Arabidopsis thaliana: one gene and its partners. The protein of the gene in region 4 interacts with the protein of the main gene of each other region in a pairwise test. Each region holds a gene or a part of one and is shown on either strand. Other genes may lie near its edges. The genes, in order: CHC1, KNAT3, BLH4 and RGL2.

Region 1 (5,038 bases), on a different chromosome or scaffold from region 4:
TGATATTGCCCTCAAGGACCACAAACTTTACATTTACTATGAGGATGGTAGCATCGGAATCTCGGATTTGAAGTTTGTAACAAAAACTGCTCATGTTCAGCTCTATCCCTTTCGCTTCCGCTTGGGATCTTTTAGCCCTTATGATACAATTTGGACAGACTATCTTGACTGGAAGACCAACATAGTAATCACCATCTCTGGAGATTTTTTGATGGTTGGCTGCGTTCTTAAACGTCGTGACCTTTCCTGGCTTTTTCGTGGCGACCAGGCCGTGATCTTGGATCTAGGTATCACCGTGCAAGCATCCTCCGATATCCAAGGTATTACCAGAAACTCCACCTATTTCAGCGGTCTTCCATCTAGCCAAAAGGATGTCTTCGTCTTCAATCTCTCCTCCCAGAAGGTTCAACGCCTTTCGTCTTCTTCTATCTCCTCCAGACCATTCTCTAATGCTCGCTGGCTCTTCCCCACTTCTTACTTCACAATGATACTCTTTCCAAACATTTTCGTTTTTGTTCAACTTTAAGTGTTTTTTTTTTTTAATAATGCCAATGTTATTTTCCTTTTGCTAATAAAAACATGACTTAACCATTAACGCAAAGGCTACAAAACAAAGCTAATTATATAAAGTAGTAATGTTTCAACATACACAAGATTACAGATACACTAGTTCACTTTTAAACCAGACTAATCTCAACAATATCTTCTACTAAAAATGCTCAAACAGATGAAGAGACTTGTATCGTCAAGAAACTCACCAACTCCCTGGCCCATCGTTCCCAGCTGCTGGCCTCCGGTTCAAGTAACGTATAACTGCATCTTCGACCCTGCAAACATTTTACCCCAAATTATGATTCAGAAACATTTTACAACTCTTTGACCAAAAAAAAAAAAAAACATTTTACAACTCTTAATACATATCATCTGTGCGAATAAAGGCCAGAGTAGCAGAGTCTAGATGATTAGCTTACCAAGGTTGGTTGAAGAAGTCTGATCGACGTTCTCTCTCAGCATTTCGACTGGCTTCTCCCGCAACGACCTTTAGATCCTTGCTCTGAGATTCGATCAGGGCGTTTATGAATTCAACTGGCGATTGGCTGAACCCCAAGAAAAATGCCCGCCTCCTCCTATGCTCATGGATTTTCCTTATGGCTGCACATATTGCTTCATCACAAGCCTCAATCTCTTTGTTCTTCTCTGCGTTGGCTAGCAAATTGTTCAGATCTCTTTGGATCGGGAAGGGTACATCCACTAGCACATCGTAACATGCTGATACGGCCGGATTATTTCCTGAGAGCTTGATTTTGTGTTCTAAGTGAATAGGTGGTGGAGGCGACAAGTGATGAGATATTTTCTGAGAGACCATAGTGAATTTCAACTTTTCTTCTCCAAAAACTTTCTGAAGTGCAGCATCACAGTTGAAGAAAGAGGGGTCATTTGGGTTCTGCAGTTTCCTCGCCTTAACGTAATGCCAAATTGCAGCGATGATTCTTGGGCGGGTTTCAACCTCAATCCCGAGAACATCCATCAATGCAGTAGAAAGCTTGAACTTTTCAGGGACGTAGTTCATCTCCAACCGTATACTAGCAGCAAACTCCTGATTCCCTTTCCTCTTTATCTCAAAGCCTTCCTGAGGAGCAGGTGATCGAGCATTCTCCCATATGATCAATGGGTTCTCAGGATACAGCCTCTGATCCAGGGAAACTGTAACCCTTTTGAAGAAAGACGAGAATTTGGGATGCAATGGGTTTGCTTTCTGAACAAACCCTGGCTGGTCGGGATCCACCCCATCTTCCAGTATCCTACCAATAATTTTAAGAGTCCATGTTGGCGGGTCAGCATTAGGATTCCCAGGGATCGTGTTGTTTTGGTTAGCAAACGAGTTGAAAACGTAGATCCTAAGAGTCTTCTGTATGCAGGGAGGGTTTTTAAGGGCTTCCTGGATGTCAACTTTCTTTCTAGTTAACGCAGCATCAACCCGAGACTCAAACTCCAGAAGTTGTGTGTATAAGGCAGACTCTGGCAAGATTGCAGCCACCCGCTCCTGCAATGACTTTTCTGGAAGCTTTTGTTTCTTTTTCCGAGCAGCAGGAGTTAACTCCATTGTTCTCATTGGGGAGATAGTGTTGTTACTCGCAGGAGCACCAGGAGGTCGCATCGGCGGTTTCTGCTGGAATCTCTTCATGTTTAAACTTCCAGGAGTCGTCAAAGAAGGAGAAGAAGGACCCAAGCCACCAATCCCCGGAGAACCTTGTGCTTGGTTCATCGTCATGCCTTGAGCTTGTAACTGAGCTTGCAGTTGTGCTTGAACTTTAGACTGTGCTTGAGCATGGGCTAGGGCCTGAGCTTGAGAGAACTGAAACTGAGCTTGAAAGTTAGCTGCCATATGAGACTGAGCAAAACCTTGGTTTCCAGGAACAGATGCAGAGGCCATCCCAGGATTCCCAAAAGGCAAAGGCGCAGAGCCTTGAGGCTTTTGTGGATTGTTGTTGTTACCAGACATTGCTATATAAACCTATCAGCCTGAAAAATTCAGAAACAAAAAATAACACTCTTGAAAAATAAACTTCAATTACACCTAACGTATCGTAAGCTTATCAGAAATCTAAGACATATATGCAGAAATTCAGATGAATGCAATAGATCGGTTACCTAGAGAAATCGAAACCTCAAAACCCTAATTTTCTAAGATTGCTGCAGAGTTCAACTAAATAGGAGTAATACCCAGGCTTAAAAACAACGTCGAAGAGAAAATGACTGAAAATGCGAATGAAGAACTCGATTGGAGAATTTTTGAAATATACTACTAAGTGGCCATAGAAAGATCTGGAATTTACAAAATCCTAAGAGATACAAAAAACAGAAAACCCAGAGCCTATACACCATAAAGATCGAGAATTCCTTAAAAAAACGAAGATTCGCAGCTTGGTACCTGCTTTTTTGATTCACCTTCTTTCCGGGATTCACCGGTGTTCCGTTGCTTCTCAGTTGTCGAGACTCGAGAGAGAAAACAAAAACAAATGCCCACCGGAGCTATCTATTTTACTGTCCGGGTTAAGACCCGACCCGTATTTTTAAAGCCCACATTGAGTTATATCAAACTGGCCCAACTTTAATCCATGTGTTTTTTTTTCAACGACAAATCCACATACAATTTGACGACAAAATTAAAAAGAAAAGCATTCCACATAATTTTGTTTTACTATAGTTTTTCGTTTCCTTTTTTTTTTTTTGTCAAATACGAATCTGTAGTTTTAGTGTTCTTTCTTAAATATACCTAAAACTAGGGTAAATTAGATAATGGTTGCCCCATTGTTTATAGATTAAAGAAAAAAAAAATCTAAATTAAATATTGGGATTATTTTAATTAGAAGCTAGTAGACTGGTATACTTTTTCATAAAAATTTTAATTTTATTTTTGCCCATTTTGTTTAGAGGGAAACAATTGAAGAATATGGGCACATGCAATTACATAAACTAATGACAAGGTAATAATATTATCAAGCTTGTCGTTTGAAAAAGGTAGCAACTTGGTTATAAACAACGTCTTTGGCAGTAACACCCATGATGAAATCAGCATGAGCATAGTCTTTCACAAACTGCACATTCATCTTATCGATGTCGTGATACTTAAACTGGTCAAGGAGAAACTCAACGTCTTTCACATCAGCCAGGCTATCTAAACCACCGTAGCTGAAAAAAAGCGGAAGCTCGTGTGGGATCGCCGATATGTTGTATGCCGGTGGTATCGCTTGACCGTAATGTTTTATGTTGCGATCACTGCTTCCATAGTTGTATTTTCTCAACTCCTTGTCTCTTACCGCTACAAATAAATAATTTGAACAATTTAAGGTTTATAAAATAATTTTTAAAAAATGGGAATTTGTTTCACTTACTTTGAGCAAGGTGGATCATGTTCTTGGTGGAAGTAGATTGAGGTTCGTTGGCAAGGAACAGATCAATGGTTGATGCGTTAAGGCAGCAATTCTTTCCTATGTTTTTGTAAAATTACGTTAATTAATATATGTAATTAATTCATCAATGGTAGATTGGTGGACTTTTTTAGTTGTAGCGTTACCAGTGATAACAGAGACTAAATCATAACAGTCGATCCCCGCTTTAAGGCATATAGCCTTTATAAAATCCCCTACTAATCCACTGCAAATGTTGTTTTAACTATTTTACGTAATCAAATCAAGCCAATAATAACAAGCATATTTTAAGAAAAAAGGGTGAAGATTTACCTTTTCGGGTTAAACTCTGGCCATCCAAGAATAGAGGTGGCCTATTTTTGAAAGACGATAAACAAGTTATTTTCATAACTGTAGGCACATATTTGTATAAGAATAAAAAAGGGTATTACAAGGGAGAAGCTAGGGACCTCGGCGAGGAAGGTTTTTGCGGCGATATCGCCGATGACGGTGGTCATGTGGCTGAGATAAGCAACGGGACTCAACATCGCCGCCGATCTCACTTGATCCACCAACCCTTTTTCTGAGAACGAAGCAAATCCTATTAACGTCCCCTGACAATTTCCATTTCATTTTTCATTCTATTATGAGAAGATATATTACTATAAGAAAAAGAAAAAAATCAGAGAAAAAATATGTTGATAACGTTGGACCCACCAAAGAGTGTCCGAGGTAGTGAATCTTTTGGCCTGTTAGGCCATGGATATGGTCAAACATAGCAGGCAGATCGTAACTCACAAGCTCGTCCCACGTCCAGTTCCAGAAAGCCTAAGTCCACAACGTGCCAACGATGTTAAATATCAGTTTCCTTAGTAAAGATATATACGTAATCTACTGGTTAAAACAGTGGTTCACTGAACCAGACCCGTTGAGAAGGGTTAAGGTACTTGTGTCTTCTGCTGAATCTAGTCCCTCTTGTGTTCCCCATCCACACATCGAATCCTTGATCCGCCAAAATCAACGGCAGATTTTGATCCGCTGGATTCAACAGCCATGACATCCCATCCTGCACATTTAACTCATGATTATTTGACTATCATAGTAATGTAAACTATAAGAAATTAAAG
Region 2 (5,037 bases), on a different chromosome or scaffold from region 4:
ATTTATACAATCCAAATGACAATTCTCTAAGTTAACAACTTTGATGTTCATTACAAAACTACTTATATGAATCTACTTTCCTAGATTTAATCTAATGTACTAATGGGCTTCTCATGAGACTAGTCTTTGAACTTTGTATGGTCCTCTAATAGAGAGGCGACCAAAATACTTAAGGACACTCTAATTATCTTTGTTAATGTGTGCAGAATCTCTCCGTGATCGATAGAAAAATCTCGCCGAAAACTTACAGTAACTTGTGGCTATCACAAACGTGACAAACGAAACAACAAGATGAGGATAAACAAACAATTTTGACTAGAAAAAAGAACACGTTTCAAATTATTACAATTACAAAAGTACGCAGCAAGCTACGTTATGTAAGATGGGGTATGTTTTATTTTTTGTCGTCATCTACCATGTATAATGTCTTTTACTTATCAAGCCAATATCACGAGTTGGAATGTGACATCGCAATAAATACTACGAACTAAGCGGATAAGAATCATAAGATGGGTTAAGTACGGTTAATGCGAAACATATACTGTATAATAGTCACATAGATTAAGCTAACCAAGTGGTGCGATACAAATTAACATATGCACCTGGTCAATGCGTAACATATACTAGTAGATTAAGAAAACTTGTGCATCCCAATGTTCTCCTCTCTCACTATCTTTATTCACAAGATATATTATGGATGATGATGATGATTATCTGATGGTTCATAAAAAAAAAACTCATGCAGACAAACAAACAAAAAACATTAAACAAAAGCCTGCATCTTCAGTTTTCATATTTTCTTTTTGGTTTGTGTGCTACTTAATAAAATATATGGGCATAATCACATAACCAAACTACGTTACTATGTAATTGCACAAAAAGTTACTTTCTAATACTGTCCCCTCTCTCTGTATAATCCAAACTCCTCCATAAAATTCTCAACTTTAAATCCCTAAAACCCTGCTTTCAAATCCCATCTTCCACCTCCCCAATTCACATCATATGTTTGTTGTTTCTACGCGAACCGCTCTCTTCCGCTATTGTCACCTGCATTGCTTTCATCAGACAAACAAAAGTTTCAGTCTTCTTTGAGTCCGATCCATAAGTTTTTCGGTTATGTTACAAGACTATATTAAAGTATAATAATACCTTTTGCGTTTGTTCTTCAATACAGTGGAAGAAGATGGATTGCTATGCCAGTTCCTCTTTCTCTGATTGATGAACCAATTGTTTATCTGTTTTAGCTGCAAACCTGTCTCTTGCACCAACCTCGCCTTATCTTCCTCCTACAAACCAATATTTGGTTATGGCTCAATGAATGAACTTGAAGAAGTTATAAAGAGATGTTAGATGAGTGAACTCACAGTAGGGTAAGGCCATTTGGAATGAGATTGCCACCAAGCTTTGAGAACAGAGGTGGTATCTCCTGGTAACTTCCCAGCTCTTCTCTTCCTTAATATCTCCTCTCTTATGTCTACTATCTTCTCCTTGTAACCCTTTTCATCAACAAGACAAAGCCCTCTACATTGTTAGTTCATGAACTAGTTCAAAGAACAAGTTTGTTGATTATTACCTGTTTGAGTTCATGTTTAAGTTCTTGTCTAACTCTTTCCATCAACGACCTCTCACTCTCAGTAGGAATCAAAGGACCAAAACCCAACACATCTAATCCCCCATCGAACATATTAGCATCACTCTCTACTTGTTCATCTTCATCGTCAGACATTGTTGCTCCCATCCCTTCTCCAGGAGACACTCCTAATCTCACCAATAAAACACAAAACTTGTCAATGTCATAAAACTAACTATTGGATTCATGAGCTAATCACAGGATTCATTTTCTCACCTGTTAAGCTTTGAAGAGACTGCTCAATCTCCCAACAAGCCATCACAGCTTCCATTGCATGAACACGCACATGTTGTTGCAATTGCTCTTTAAATGAACACAGTAGCAACACATAATGTGTCTACACCATAAAAAAAACATTAATCAAACACACAATAAACACAAAGAACAAAATTTGTATTTTCTTCATCATCATGACCATTATTATATCATAAGCTCTTTTTTTGGGATTTTAGTCTTGTTTATCCCTAAAAACACAAATCTTGATTTTAATATTTTAAGATTTCAAAAATCAAGAAACCTAAGTCGGTGTGTATTATTAAAATTTGTGCTAAGTATAATTATGAAATCGTTAATTATAAAATTATAGAACAAAAAAATCTGAAATTTATATACCATGAACTGGTCAAGTTCTTTATCGTCGCCGACGAGACCTTGAGCGGCGGCGCCTAAAGCTGAGTATTTAGCGACGACGTGTTGAGACTGAGCAAGCTGAGCATCGATTCTCGGAAGCTGATCAACCGGAGTCGCGATTCTCAAACAAGCAACGTGCGCCGACAAAAGCTGCTCGTAAAGAGGATGCGAAAGGATCTCCGCCTTGTGTCTCGCATTCTGCCAGCTCACTACTCCATCCGCCGCCGTAGCTCCTCCGCCGTCGTTTTTGTTTTCTCCACCGCCGGTTTTCATCTCTCCCTGAATCATAGTGTCTGCTCCTCCGGTGACATCATCGATCCCATCTCCGACTATGGAAGCGTTGTTGTTGTTGTTTCGTTGGAGGAAAGAGGAGGAGCGAGATAGCCACTGGTTAGCAGCGGCGGCGGCGGCGGCGGAGGAAGGAGAATCGGAGCTGCTTGCGGTTGTGGTGTTAGCGGTGGCTGTGTGGAGGTTGAGGAAGTTATTGTTGTTATCTGAGGAACGAAGAAGCGCTGTGTTTAACCAATTAGGAGGCGGTGCTTCTTGGAAATGTTGTTGCTGTTGCGGAGGAGGAGGAGGCGGTTGCGGAGGTGGAGGTTGGTGTTGGTCGGTGAAATGATTGAAGGAGAGGTCTTGTGAGAGATGATTGTGATGAAACGCCATCGTTTTGGTTTGACCTTTTTTTTTTTGTTCTTTTTGAATTTTGTTTCCTGTTTCTGAGAGGGAAAGATAAAGAAAGAAGGTGAATCTCTGCTGCTTCTATGACGACGATTGTTTCATATGTTTCAATTATCACCAAAAAAAAAAAAAAAGACACAGAAACTTTTCTTAAAATTGGAAAATAATTGGTTTTTGTGGTGTGTATGTATGTATCTGAGTATATATGTGTGGGTGTGTTCAGAGTTGCACAGAGCTGAGAGATCGAGAGATGACCATTTATTCTCATATTTATTCTTTCTTATTTTTTGCAACCTATTTATCAATATAATTGAATTATTATATGGAATTTATTAGATAAAAAAATATTCCTTCTCTATTCCTTATTATTTAATTTTTTAGAGGAAAAAAATTGTTTTAAAAAAAATAATTTTTAAATTTTCTATACATTATTTATTAGTTATTATTGATAAATTTTTAATTTTAAGATAAATAATTGAATATCATTGGTTTAGAATTATAAAAAAATATAAATCACAAAAGATAATATGTTTATAATTAGTTTTAATATGTTTTTTAATATATGTGTTTTTTTAGAAAATTAATTTAAAAAAAAAAACTGAAAGATAGTAAAAACAAAACATTTTTTTAAAAATCGCTTATGAGAACTTTTATTTGTTAAATATTTTTCTAAATGCTAATTAAAAAGTAAGACAAAAATTGATTTTTTTTGTTAAAGAAAACAAAAATTGATTTTTTTTGTTAAAGAAGACAAAAATTGATGTCACCTCGTATAATCAAATCAACTGATAAAATCTTTTTTGATTTAACTAAGAATTTGTAAACTTTCTTCTATAGTGATATTATTATTGGGGGAAAGATAAAAATCCGACATCATAAATTAACCATAGAAAGCAAAAGTATTTAATAAATCAGTACGCTACATAATAAACAGTGCATTTGAGAAAATAAGATAATTTAGTTATGGTTGACAAAAATGTATTTTTTTTTCTTTTCCAATCACTTTGGTCCACATAGACCTAAGAAAGAATAAATATAAAAGTAAGTGACTAATGAAACAACAAATAGAAGATTAGGTCACGACAGAAAATTAATTAAAGAAAGTAGGTCGTCATGGTTCGATCTATGTCGTTAAATTTTAGTGGCGACTGTATTTATTAAGATCTGACGGCTGCGAAAGGTCGTTGCCTTCTTCGACTGTGTTTGATTTTTTTTATTGTTGGGAATAATAAATGTATTTTTCCTTTTTAAAAAGAGTTGCTACGTGTTGTGTTTTAAGACGCAACGTATCTATGATATGAAGAAGCGCGTGCGTTTCACGTTCAGATGTTAGTGTAATTTTATGGCACTATGAAACAAATTTAACTTATTTATTTATACAATTATTTTTTGCTTCACGCCTTTACCTATTATAAATCCTTCTCGTTTTATGTAATGAAGTTACGAGAAATTATTGAAAACAAAAAATTTAATCATGAATTTAAAGTTACAATTTTAGGTTAAAGATTTGAAATAAAACAATCTTTTAAGAATTTATTTATATGGATTTAAAAGACCTAAGTACCAGAAAACAAATTAGCTTATTTGTTTATGCACACTATTTTTTTGCTTCACCCTTTCACCTTTTTAAAATAATAATAATCATTTCATATAATATAATTTGAGAAATCACTGGTTCTTTAAAATCACATAATTTTCTGAAATCACAGTTTTTGGTAAATATAATTTTTAGATTTTTTTTGGAGTGAAAATTTTCGTACATGCTACGAAACAGAAATTTGGTATAAAATTTGATGGTAGTATATTCGATCGTCACAATAAAAGTTATCGTATATTTTTTTATTTATTTGAGTTTGGTTAAAAACTTAAACGATCAATTAATTTAGAGATTTAAACTTAATTGTGATGAATAGCGTCCTTTTGGTAAATTTTTAGCATTTAATAAGAAGTGAGACGCAAATAGGTCTAGGTTAACTCATACTATAAATGTGTGTTAACATAGTCACATATATAACTTCATCTTTGGGCTGGTTCTTATATTATCAAAACCGTTTTTATTTAGGATTTGAATGGTTATGGCGGTTGGGGCGGATAAAACC
Region 3 (7,673 bases), on a different chromosome or scaffold from region 4:
TCTCCGTCTCGATTGACATATCCCCCAATATGACATGTAACCAAACCTTTGGAGTTTTGGATAATTGTTTCTCAGAGAAAAAAACTAAAGAACCTAACTCAAAAGATTATTTGTTTTCTTTTTAAACAAATATGTCACGTTTTTCTTAACTATTTTACTATAAACTGAAGATAATACAATTGTTAATAAGTCGATCGGGTACGTACCAAGTATATTTTGTTGCTATTACTAAATTAAGGAGCACATAGTTGTAGTAAGTAGGGATTAGTTGAGATGATTAATTTGATATTACAAGGAAAGTGATGTGACTTATTGGCGCTTTCCTAAAAGACTGTTGTCGCTTATTAGCAAAAATCAAATGGAAGAATCCAATAAATGCTACACGAAATTTAGTTTCCAGAAAATATATGTACATAATCATAATCTAAAACAAAATTTAGAGTAATTTGGCAGGGGTATTAATATGAACAAAAAATTAGTATGAACAAAACTATACAAAAATGTAAGGATATAAGTTTCATGAATAAAATAAAAATATGTGCATAATTATATATGGAACTTTGGTAGCTAGATCTCACTTGATATATGTATATCTCTCTTCTTCTTACGACAGAAAAGACAGAAAAAAAAACTAAAGAAGAAAGGAAATTTTAAAAGTATGTGAAGAAACTAAAAACATATATCGATAAACCAAAAAAATAAAATTCACTATAATAAATTTTGATGAATAAATTGAGAAACAAAGAAGACTAAAAATCTCCAAAGTCTCTAACGGAGAAAGAAGTGTTCTTATCAGGAATATTGCCAGAGTGGCGTAGACCAAGCGTAAGAGACACGTCACCAGTCTGTTTGGTCCCGAATCTTATGACGTTCACACCATCTCCGTCGACGTGGAAGTCACTGACGTCTTGCTGACACGTGGCGACGGTGAACGCGTCTGAACCGCCGTGAGAAGCGGCGGCGACGGAAGAGAGGAATGAAGAGTCGTTTTCGTGATGTGTCGATGTCATCGTCGTTGGAGTTTGTGCGGTTATGACAGTGAAGTTGTTTTCATTGTTGTTGGGTTTCGTGTCGTTGTTGTTTGTTTGTTGCTGTCTTCTTTGTTGTTGTTGATTTTCATTTTCTTCTTCTGCTTCTTCTCTTTCTTTTGCTTCTTGTTGATACATCTCTTCCACCATTGGTTTCCATAGGCGAACCCTAGCATTTATGAACCAATTTGACACCTGAAAAAACGAGACATATGAACTAATATTAATCACAATTTACTCTTAACAAGTTTATAATATTAAAAGAAACTTAACTTTTAGAAGGAAAAAAAAACTTTTCAATGAAATGTGAAATACTCCTTTTTACATTAAATATGGTTTTGATTGTTTTTGTATATACTTCATTTGTTTTATATTAAGTAAAGTTAAAATAATAAGTCATTTACTGTGAAGAAAATTAGTTTAAACAAATGAAACAAAAAAAATAGGATAGCTAAAACCTTAAGTTAAAATGATAGGAAAGGAGTAAAAATTATGATACATGTGTTTCCTTTGAGACATCTATTAAAAAGAAGATATATATTAAATTTTTCATTATATTCTTACAAGAACAAGATAACTTTTGACATGTTTCAAGTAATTTTGATTTGATGTTAACTTATGTATTTACTGAAAGGCTTAGATGAAATTTCTAAATTAAAAATTTGAAACATAATAATGTTTTTTTATTTGAACACATGAAACATAATAATGTTAAAACAACAATTTGAAGGTTGAAATATACTAATGGATATTTGAAGCCAAGTGTAATAAACTACTTGTGATGTAAATAATTAATGTGTACAAGACTTAGAGGTCTGCTAGTTAACATTGAAATGAAAGCTTCAAACTTTCATGTACTTGAGAAATACTTACATCTCTCTCTCCTATGTTTTATATATCCTTGTGTGTGTAAGTGTAGATAATGTATTTAATGAAGAAAACGAACCCCAAGAAAAACAAATGATTCGTGATATTGAAAATCCATGCAAGAGAATAGACATGAAGCCACTCATGTCAGATTTTGCATGATGAAATGATTGATATATATGGTAAATTGTGAGTTAAGTACATATATGTAAATGAGTAATTAAAAGGGTTCTTGTATGATAAGTATGAAAACATATTATATTAAAAAAATATTGATGTATGTATCTATATAGATAAAGGCTGACCTGATTTCTGGATAAACCAGTCTGTCGTGCTAAGAGGTGCTTATCAGCATCGCTTGGGTACCTGAGAAAGAGACCAGAAAATGACTTCACAATCTTTAGAACCCTAAACCAATAATTTTTTTCTTTTCTCTTTTTTTGAATATAGATAGAGAGGAAAAACACAATCAAGTAGATGCAAGAAAAGGTACAAACTTTCTCCTTACAAGGGCGTGAGAATCTAAGGGACAAAAGAAAAAGCTGATTTCAGAATAGAAGCATTTTATTTTATTTTTGTATCTTAACTTATTTTTCATCATAAAGCAAAATATTTATCTGTACAACTCTTCTCTTCTTTACTTCACTAACAACAAAATAGTAAAATTCTGCAGACATTAAATAGAGAAAGTACTGATGAATAATGACAGAAGAAATTGCTTTTTTCAGCTTTTAGATTTTTTTTTTCCTCTTTTTGATTTCTGTCTTTCTTAAGGGACAATATACCAATGAAACTGTACCACTGACAAATCTGAGACTTATTTTTTTGTAGTTATGTTAATGGCATTGTTACTTCTTTTGATAATAGTATGTGGAATGAATTAAAGCAAATTAAAGAAAAAAAAACTATAAAGGAAAGGTTAGGCAGAGACAGAGAAACCCTTAGGATGCTATTATGATCCCAAAGCATAAAAGTTTGCGATCTCACTCTGCAAACTTCTTTTGTTGCATTAATTATTTAAACCCTTTAATTTGCCATGCAATATAACCTACATTAATATAAATATAAACATACAGTTTTCATGAAAGTCTCCTAGTCAATGAATTGTTACCCTTGTTATTTTGGAGTACTCTTAGCTGACCATTCTTATGGGTGGTATGAAAAGGAAAAAATATTTGATATTTAAATTTTTATTAGTAGTAATAAACATAAAATAATCAAACTCAGTGAAGAAACGGAACTTCATTTTACAAAAATTATTTTGGTTTTCTAAAAAAGCCAGCAGCTTTTAATTTTGATTGAAATAGAAATATATCTTCCCGCATAACAAAAGAGTTATAAAAAAAAAAATTTTTTTGTCACTTTCATAACTTAAGTTTAATAAACGTATATTAGTTAAAGTCTTGGTATCAATGCATTATGGTAGTCTACATTTTATAATGTATAGTCAACATTCAAGAAGATTAGTATTATCGAAGAATAAGAGTAGGTAAGTATTATTAAGGGATTAGAAAATGGACTTACGGATTAAGAAAATGCTCGAATAGCCAAGCTCTAAGGATATTAACGGAGCGTTCAGGCAAACCACGTTGCGGTCTCCATGCCTCTTGCTCCATCATACCCATATGATGAAACGCTCGTTGCTGACGCAAACTCTGCTCTAGCAAACGCAATCGCGGCGTTTCCCCTTTGGTTAACCCCGAGGATGCAGCCCCTGCCGCCTCTTTATCCCCTAGAAGCTCACAGCTGCGTTTAAGCTGAACCGCTACCGCGTCTTTCAAACACCGGAAATGCCTAGACATTGCCTTTTGAGCTAATGTCGTGTACGGAACCGCCGCGCCGTAACCCATTACTTGGTCGAATGAGTTCACTACCATTTGCATTTGTTCGCAGTAGTGGTTGTACCGTCGGTCCACCTACAAATTAAATTTTAAATAAATGAACTATACATAGATGAGTTCTTGTTTTTTTTTTATTAGCTCAATTTCTAAGATAAAATATAAACCTCAAGTGATTAGTTCGTTTAGATACTTCAATGTGTTATCTTCTCTTGCTAACAATTTATGCTATCTTGGAACATATACTAAATTCTTGAAAGAAGATAATGTCAACTACAAAATAAATTGTAAGATAAATAATGAAGTAACTTCAAGGACTAGTTTTGGTTACGTAGTGAAGGTGGCTAGCTTATATGGAGAAGGAAACTCTAATTTAAAATTTATGGTTGTGAAGACTAAATCACTTAATCAATCATATATTAATTTCTTATGTTAAATTTGATTAAGCGATGCCACCAAACGCGTGACACAAAATATGCATTAATATATCAAATTAGACCATATAACACCATATAATGATATTAGTTAGAAAAATTATATAAGTGATAGTAGGATTGCGTAATCAGGCTTTACCAACTAGAGCATGTGTCGTGCTCTTGTACCAGTCGGTCATTCTCTATACATTTATTTTTTTAAGAAAATAACATATATAGAGTTTATGAAAATATTGGTCGATTTAGAATTAATTATATAAGAAGAAAAAAATCACGAAGAAAAATAAAATTTTGTAGCGATTGATATGAAATTGGTTGTTTGATCAATTCAATCATTAGAACGGTTCATTAAAAGTTTGATAGAAAATTAATTAGTTTGGTTAGAGAAAAAATATTGAGTGAAAACGTTACCTCTTCAAGCATAGATAGTAGCTTGACTTTTCTTCTTTGATGTTCAATCCGATCAGCCGGAGACAAAGGAGGACTATCATTAGCTGTTCCGGCCGATGACGAGGACCCTCCGCCTCCTCCTCCACCGGTAGTATTAGGGTTTGAGTTGTTCCTACTAAGTTTGTTCTTCTTGAAATGTCCTCTTCCAACACTACAAAACTCTTCCAACAACTCTTGAGCCGGTTTCGTATATTTCGAATTCCTCAACGTGTAGATCCCTCCAATGGATGAAGAAGCCGCCATGGGAGATGATGATGATGAACCAAAATGTCCAACAACTTGATGGTGATGATGTTGAGAAGAAGAATTCTCAAGAAGAAGATTCTTGAACTGATTGAATTGATGATGATGAGCGGATGCGTTAGAAGAAGAAGAAGTTCCATCAACGGCTGCACAATAAATGCTTCTATATTCCTCGGCTTTAGCTGCGGCTAATGAAGATGAGAGAGATAAAGACAAACCCTTTCCTCCTTCCACGTGGACGGTTCCGATCATATCTCGGTTTTGATGATGATCGGAGGAGGAAGATGGCCATGTAAAGTGTTGTTGTTGCTGCGGCTGCATAGTGTTTTCGTCGGTGAAAGCAAAACCTTGATGATGATTTGGTAATAACATATGAAGAGTTGAGTTATTGTTGTTGTTGTGACGGTTTTGTTGCTCTAGCAACTGTTTAGTAGACTGATCAAGAATCTCTCCACCGGAACCGCCGCCACCTCCGCCAGGGTAAGCAAACATTTCAGACAACATTCCGGCGGTTTCATAAACCGGAATTTGAGCACCGGAGACGACGGCGGATTCATCTACTTCCTCTTGATGAGTGGTTGATGATGATCGGTGGAATCCATTAGAGAAGGAAAAGATTCCTTGGTGATGATGATAATCTTGTGACATAGAAGAAGTTGTAGTAGCTAAACCCATATCTTGTTATTCATTATATCTTTTTTCCAAAGCTCTTGGATCCTGTAAGGATTCAGACATACACAGAGAATCTTATATAACACATACAAAAAAAAAATACAAGAAAAAGAAAGAGAGAGAGAGAGAGAGGAGTCAACTAGGTATTATACAGTTTTTCTCCAATCTCTTTCTTGTAACTCTTTTAAGGTTCTCACTTTCAGCTTCGGTCATCATCTACATATATGGTATAGAGAGAGAGAGAGAGAGAGAGAGGAAGTACCTTGGAGTTGCAGAGAATTAAAGAAATGATTGATGATGAGCTTATAGCTATCGTTTTCTTCTATACCTCTCTCTCTAGCTTTCTTTTTCTTGAGTACTCTTTTTATTTTATATTTCTCTGTTAGTGAGAGTTTTTATTCAGCAAATTCTGCAAAACCAAAAACTTATAAAAAAATCTCTCCCAAAGAGAAAGGAAGAGAGAGGGAAGAGAGAAGAAGAGGTCGCTGTTCTTTCTTCATCGCCTCCCTTTTTAACCCACCAATCTTCTTTAATATTTTTTTGTTATTAAAATCTTGATTTATCATTTTTTTATAATGAAGTATTTTTATAAACATCTTCTTTTTAATTTTAATCGGCAAAGGTTTCTTCATATCAATAACGATGAGGAGGAAAGACAAAAAAAAACTATACACATCCTGAAATTACGAAATTATCCTTGTTTTTTTTTCTTGTCTTTTTTTTTTGTCAACGTTATTATTTATTTATAAGAGAAAAAAAAACTTTTTATCACGGAAATGTCGGCTGATATCAACATTTTAAAGGAGTTAATTTGGAAACTAATTTATGAAAGCAAACTAAAAAGAATAGGAAGATAAGGTGAGTCCAAAGGTCATATCTCAATGAACCAAACCACCACCATAAATACTTCCACATATTTTTGTGCTTCAATATATTCTTATTTCGAGCCAAAATAAAATAAAATAAAATATTCTTATTTGACAAATTAAATACTTATATAATATTCCTATGATGCTCTCTAATTTTATTCTTTAATATTGTGTGTATTTGTTGTTTAGGGGAGACCTATGTCATTTTAGACTACTTTTTCATGTATGTACATTTATTCAATTAACTAATCATACGATATATCAAAAATCGATCAAATTATAATATGAAACAAATGAAATACATAAAAATCGATCAAATTATAATTACATTTTGGTAACATATGTGGCTAAATCAATTATTTTAAATTTCTTTGCAGAAACCGCTATATTACATCTATCATCACGAAATCGTAAAAAAAAAAGCATTAGAGATTACCTCAAGCTTGATATGATAAAGCAAAAATCTAGCTGCAAATCGAGGTTGTTTCATTTTGTGTTAATTGATTAGGAAATATCTCATTCTGTGTTAAACGATACTCTCAACTTTCAAAATATTATTTTATATCTATATTAATTAATAAAACTTTATCACTCAAAGATTATTGAAATTTTTTTAAAATTGCTTTTTAGATTACCCATTTTAAAAAATATCCCTTTAACAATAATATTTTTAAAAATACCATTGTTTTAAAAAAAACCTTGATGTTATGACAACATGCCTGATGACTAAACCTCCAAATCATCTTTACAAAATATTTACTAAAATCCAAAGATTAATCCTCTGCACGATTTCACGGTCGGCCGATAGCCTTTCACCATCATCGATGTTTGTAATATGTAAACCATCCACACACAACTAATGCATGGAAAAAACGAAATTTTATGGTTCTGTAGTTTCACAACTACACCTTCAGCTATCTCTTTTTCTAAACCTATACTTATAAAATTAATTTCAGCCATACATTATAATGACGTTGTATAGATACAAACACAATTATTTTCTGTTAAAATTAACGTATCATTAGTCATTACATTATCCTAGGTATATTAAATATTAAAAAAAAAAAAATTTCCAAAATCGATTTGACGTGCGTATCCATCCCACAAACAGTTAGAGAGACATGTTGGATATATGCTATGTAGGTTATAAATCCACAATAGGATAAATACTAATGGAAGGCTTGAAAGCAAAAGTGAAAAGCCCACTTGTATATATATCTATGGAGACTTATGTTGGAATCTATCATGCCAGAATCAGATACCAAATCGAAA
Region 4 (4,759 bases):
TTCAATGATATTATTGTGCCATTGGAGTGTTCTATATATAATCCGAACCTATCCGACCAAAATCCCTACGTTAATGTCGTTTTATAATTTCCTTCTTGACTATACGTCTAGATTGAATTCCAGAAAGAATAACTTCATATATGTTTTCAAAACTGAAACCCCCCAAAATTTAGATCCACCAACTCTTAGGTAGAAGACCATTGAATTTGAGGCTTATGATCTCATAAAAGTAGAATAATTTCACCTCGCATATTTTTAAAAGTTGATAACGTACGTCAAAATCAATTTGACATCCATATTACCTCATCAAACCCATAATAAAGAGAGAGAAAAGAACAATCTGTTTCGAAAACAAAAATGTACCAAAATATATTTCGAAGAAAATCTTTTAACAAAGGCTGACATCAGTCCTCGAAACTGAAAGTACATTTTGGATCCGCCTTTTCAGAAACGCTCACGTTCACTTCCCATGTTATCAACGAAACTGTCCAAATTTGAAAAATATATGACACAAAATCATTTAAATAAATTCATATATATTGGATCAAGTAAAAAACATACAGAATCGTTATCCTTCCATTTATTGAAAACTACTTAGCTCGATCTACGATACAAGATTTTTTACTCGTTCTCTTAACTCTCAAAGATACGCACAAGGTCCAAAAAGATAAAGTTGTAAACATTTAGGCAAAAAGGTTAAACACACAAAAACTTCGGGTTAAAAAGTAAAAACATAACTAAAGTTACGGTCTCTTTTCCTAATTTTTTAAAACATTTATTGTTTTTCCCGGTTTCAGGCGAGTCATCTCTACCGCCGCGACTCAGGCGAGTTTCCACGCCGAGGTTGTGATGAGTGGTCGCGTCTGCCACCCTATCATTAAACATCCGTCATTTTCTTCAACTCTGTATCCATCTCCGGTAGCGTAAAGCGATAAAAGCATACTCGCTTGTTTAAACGCGCTAGATCCGAGATGAATCGGGTCAAACCCAGCGGATTTCATCCGAATCCTCCACTGTGCAGCCGTCTCGTGCCGCTCGACCCGATCGGACCCTTCCGCCGCAACAACGTTGAGTATCTGTCTCCCTAAGTACACTTCTGACATAACTCGGTCTTGACTCGGTAAACTATAACTGTCTTCGAGCGAGTCAAACAAGCTCGAGTAGTAATGAAGCGCTTCGTTGAACCTATCGAGGAAGACGATTCCGTTGTGGTTCGCTTCTTGCTCAACCACCGTTACGATACTCGGTTTAATAGCTTTAACCGTATTGAGAAGCTTTTCGATTGAACCGGATCGGGCTAATAACCGGTGGAGCTCAAATACCGAATTAACCACTAAGGTTTCAGATTCGGGTCGGGTTTCGAACATTTCGGGTTCAAGATCCGATAAACTCTCAGCGGCTAAGCCTTTGAATTCGAATTCAACGCCCATGTTCTGAGCGAATTGAGCTAATTTCCAACCTAACTGTTGAAGCGAATCTGAATTCTCCGTCTGCGGTGGTCCGATTCCGGTGAGACGAAACGACGGAGGTCCACCGGGTCGGAGAGCTAAAGCTTGCATTAAAGCAGGCCATTGCATCCCTTGATTAAGCCCTAAATCAATGACGTGAACTCTACGCGCCGTCGTAACAGCTTCTAGAATCGCTTGGTTCGCCGTGAAATGAGCGAACTTCAGGTAAGGGCAAGACTCGTAAAAGTGCATCTCCAAAACCTCTTCGAAAGATGGGTTCACCGCCGCGCAAACGTCCGTCTCCGCCGTGTAATCACGGTAAATACGACGAGCCAAGGCTTGAGCAAAATACGTAGCGACTTTTCCCATAGCTCCAGCTTGAGAACCCGCGAGTGTTCCCACGCGTTTCACCAGCGCGTCAGCTAAGTTGAGATTCTCCTGGTGAATCGCCTCAGCGCACGCCACTAGTGCGTGGACAAGTCTAACTCCGGTCTCCTGAGAGTCAACGAGCACCACGGACCGAGTTGACTCGTCCGACGATTCGCACCACGATCCGAGTCGGATCCTCTTGCTGCTAGCTTCCTCGTCAAAGACTTCCTCTTCCTTTGGAAACGCAGAAAGACCCGGAATTGCTCTGAGATCGTATTCGGATCTATCCACACAACTTCGGGTCGTGTCAAGATCCGAAGAAGCCGGGTTGTTCAGCTCAGAAAGCATGCTCTCGACCCAGTTAGAGAGATCAGATGGGTTATAATGAACAGAGTCGTTTAAGACAGTAGAACCAACATCATCATTAGACAAGACCATCTCAAGTTGTTCAAGCTTCTGTGCTACTTCAGCCATCTCAGAAGATCGAACCTTGTAGCCAAGAACAGCAAGAAGCTCATCATCCATGTTGCTGTTGTTGTTGTCATCATCAGCCTTCTTCTTATCCGCCATTGAAGGACCTTCTCCGGAACGAGAAGCTGGTAGTGGTTTTGGTGGCGGATCCCATGTTTCTCCGTATCCTCTCTTCATCTTTCTTGTTCTTGTGATGGTGAGTTAAGAGACTGATGAAGTTGAAAAAAAAAGAACAAAAGAGAGTTTATAAGAAAGGAGTTTACTTTACTTCATGGGTTGGTAAGGTTTTTATTAATGGGATTTGAAAAAGAAAAAAAAAAGAATTTTGTGGGTCTTTGTTGTGATTTGGTTACAGACAATTTTTGTGGAAAGAAAGGAGATTCTGAGAGGAGCAATATATAAAGCACGAGGGAGTGAGAGAGAGGTCCAATTAGAGAAGTGACTGTGAAGTGTGTTTAAGAGATAAGAATCAGAGCATGCCACTATTGTTTGGCATCTGTTTCTCTCTTTCATTTTTTCCTAACTCCAAGAAATTTACTCCTTTTTTTTTGTAGTAATGGATAATTTTCTTTATAACTGTTTAGTAGAGATTTCTAAATCTGTTTAGTAGTTTTGACCAATGGAACTTTATAACTTTTAGGTTGTAGTGTGCTTTCGTCATATTTGTTGGTAAGATGTTTTTAAGTTGTGAAGTGATTAAAGTGTCTTTTAATGATAGTGTCATAGTCTTATAGACGATCACGACTTAATTGTTCTTAAATGCCATTGAATATTGTCATATTCTCGCTTACGACTTCGTTGTTCTTAAACCCAAACGGCACCAAATGCGTGTTAAGATAATGGCACTTAAGTGTAGTTTTTTTCCTTATGTTGGATAATGTTTATTTTTTCACTAAATAATTGACATTTGATAATCAACTCTTTTCTAATGACAACTGAAAATATTGAATTATACAAATTTGATTTTCTCATATCTTGGTAGAAAGTATATAATCTTTTCCTCAGTCGAAAGTGTATAATCATGAAGCAAGAATCCTAAGTTGTTAGTGTTTGGATAAAAATACAAATTTTCAAAGCAAACAATTTTTTGTTACCAGCAGGTTTAATGTCATAGAGTAATCAGTTTTTAGAGATCATATTAAACTGAGACAACATTAGATAACTAATTATTTTATTGGTCCATAAGAAAAGTATAATCAGACACAAATATGATTCAACTATTACTCTCTTTTTTCTTGACCAAGTTCTAACATTCTGGTGATGTGAATTCTTTTTTACCATAATGATAAACAAATATGTTTTTAGCTATGTATTGTTTCACTGAGATAAAACTACAGTCTACAGCTCAAGTATTTGAGGGGGACACATGAGCAACTTCTCATGTGCCACGTAGAGGAAGACATAGCCTACGAGACGTCCACAACATAAGGTTACTTTCATTAATTTATTGCATATATCTTTCAGCAGTTTTACATACACACATCATCATCATGCATAATAATTAAGGTTTTTTCGAATAGTGGTATCGTTTGGAAACCGTAAAAGATCCTTTTGGAATATAAGAAAATAAATTATAGAAAAATGTTGTGGGGATTGTATATAGGTATGGTCCCAATCGCAGCTACAAGAAAATGATATTCGTTGTTGTGTTAGAAGTCACATGGTGCATGCTTTTCCATTTTTAGTCATTTGATGTAACTTGTGTCTAAATTGGCCTGTTTTGCTTTTGTGGTTTACATTATTTGTTACTTTTTATTTAGGATCCCTCTTTTAAAATTCATAAGATGAGAGAATCGAAACTGAAGCGCGTCATGCTCACTCGCCAAAACTAGTCCACCTCAAAGAACACTTCATCATCGTCAATTTATCTTTCACCTTATTCACTACCTTTCAAGATTTAACTACATCACCAAACTACGAGTATTTGGATAACCAAACCAAAAGAAAATCTGAGTCATGGTTTCATTTACCGAATATTCAAATCAAAATCCCCACTTCTTCGCCACTTCTCATGTTCACCATTTTCATTTTCTTCATCATTCAAGAAATCTTCTAATGGTTCCTTCTCTTCCTTCTGGCTATTATTGTTGTTGTTATTGTTCCCCCATCCATTCATCAGCAACATCATCTCATTAGGGTTCATGTTACGCCCCTGTTCTCCATGATTCCCAATCGCATTAGCTCTCAACGGGTTACGAGCCATCATCTCGGCATGAGACTGTTGAGACTCTTCTGCCCTTGCTTGTCCTGCTGCTTGAGCCAAAGCCGCCATTCTTAACCTCGCATCCTGAGCTTTCATCTCCCTATCCAGCTGGATACATGCGTTTCTCTCGTCATTGAGCAAAACTTGTTCCATCATCAGCCTTTCCTCAACTCTGTCTCCATCGCTTCTCTTTTGAATTATCCTGTCGAAAGCTTGGACTTGTCCCTCAAATGTCGCCGTGAATTCTGCAACTTTGGCTGCAATGTTG

The links.
Region 1: the proteins of RGL2 (region 4) and CHC1 interact in binary tests that used the Arabidopsis thaliana proteins (3 or more experiments, as listed by UniProt).
Region 2: the proteins of RGL2 (region 4) and KNAT3 interact in binary tests that used the Arabidopsis thaliana proteins (3 or more experiments, as listed by UniProt).
Region 3: the proteins of RGL2 (region 4) and BLH4 interact in binary tests that used the Arabidopsis thaliana proteins (3 or more experiments, as listed by UniProt).

What each region holds. Positions count from the first base shown.
Region 1 is NC_003076.8:4,567,942-4,572,979, forward strand, and holds CHC1 (SWIB/MDM2 domain superfamily protein), read right to left. Parts: upstream 3,054-5,038; 5' UTR 2,933-3,053; intron 2,524-2,932; 5' UTR 2,504-2,523; coding exon 972-2,503; intron 828-971; coding exon 755-827; 3' UTR 539-754; downstream 1-538. Other genes in the region: AT5G14160 (F-box family protein), read left to right, coding at 1-526; MPL1 (Myzus persicae-induced lipase 1), read right to left, coding at 3,501-3,823, 3,897-3,992, 4,079-4,158, 4,245-4,285, 4,382-4,525, 4,629-4,739, 4,837-4,977. UniProt on the Arabidopsis thaliana protein: Involved in transcriptional activation and repression of select genes by chromatin remodeling (alteration of DNA-nucleosome topology).
Region 2 is NC_003076.8:8,734,094-8,739,130, reverse strand, and holds KNAT3 (homeobox protein knotted-1-like 3), read right to left. Parts: upstream 3,188-5,037; 5' UTR 2,924-3,187; coding exon 2,243-2,923; intron 1,968-2,242; coding exon 1,847-1,967; intron 1,759-1,846; coding exon 1,574-1,758; intron 1,497-1,573; coding exon 1,365-1,496; intron 1,287-1,364; coding exon 1,150-1,286; intron 1,056-1,149; coding exon 1,016-1,055; 3' UTR 530-1,015; downstream 1-529.
Region 3 is NC_003071.7:10,107,202-10,114,874, forward strand, and holds BLH4 (BEL1-like homeodomain 4), read right to left. Parts: upstream 5,805-7,673; 5' UTR 5,685-5,804; exon of another isoform or gene 5,578-5,684; 5' UTR 5,536-5,577; coding exon 4,579-5,535; intron 3,812-4,578; coding exon 3,420-3,811; intron 2,418-3,419; coding exon 2,201-2,417; intron 1,224-2,200; coding exon 750-1,223; 3' UTR 508-749; downstream 1-507. UniProt on the Arabidopsis thaliana protein: Transcription factor that establishes leaf shape by repressing growth in specific subdomains of the leaf. Negatively regulates knox homeobox gene KNAT1/BP expression.
Region 4 is NC_003074.8:818,815-823,573, forward strand, and holds RGL2 (RGA-like 2), read right to left. Parts: upstream 2,839-4,759; 5' UTR 2,466-2,838; coding exon 822-2,465; 3' UTR 523-821; downstream 1-522. Other genes in the region: AT3G03460 (mediator of RNA polymerase II transcription subunit-like protein), read right to left, coding at 4,255-4,759.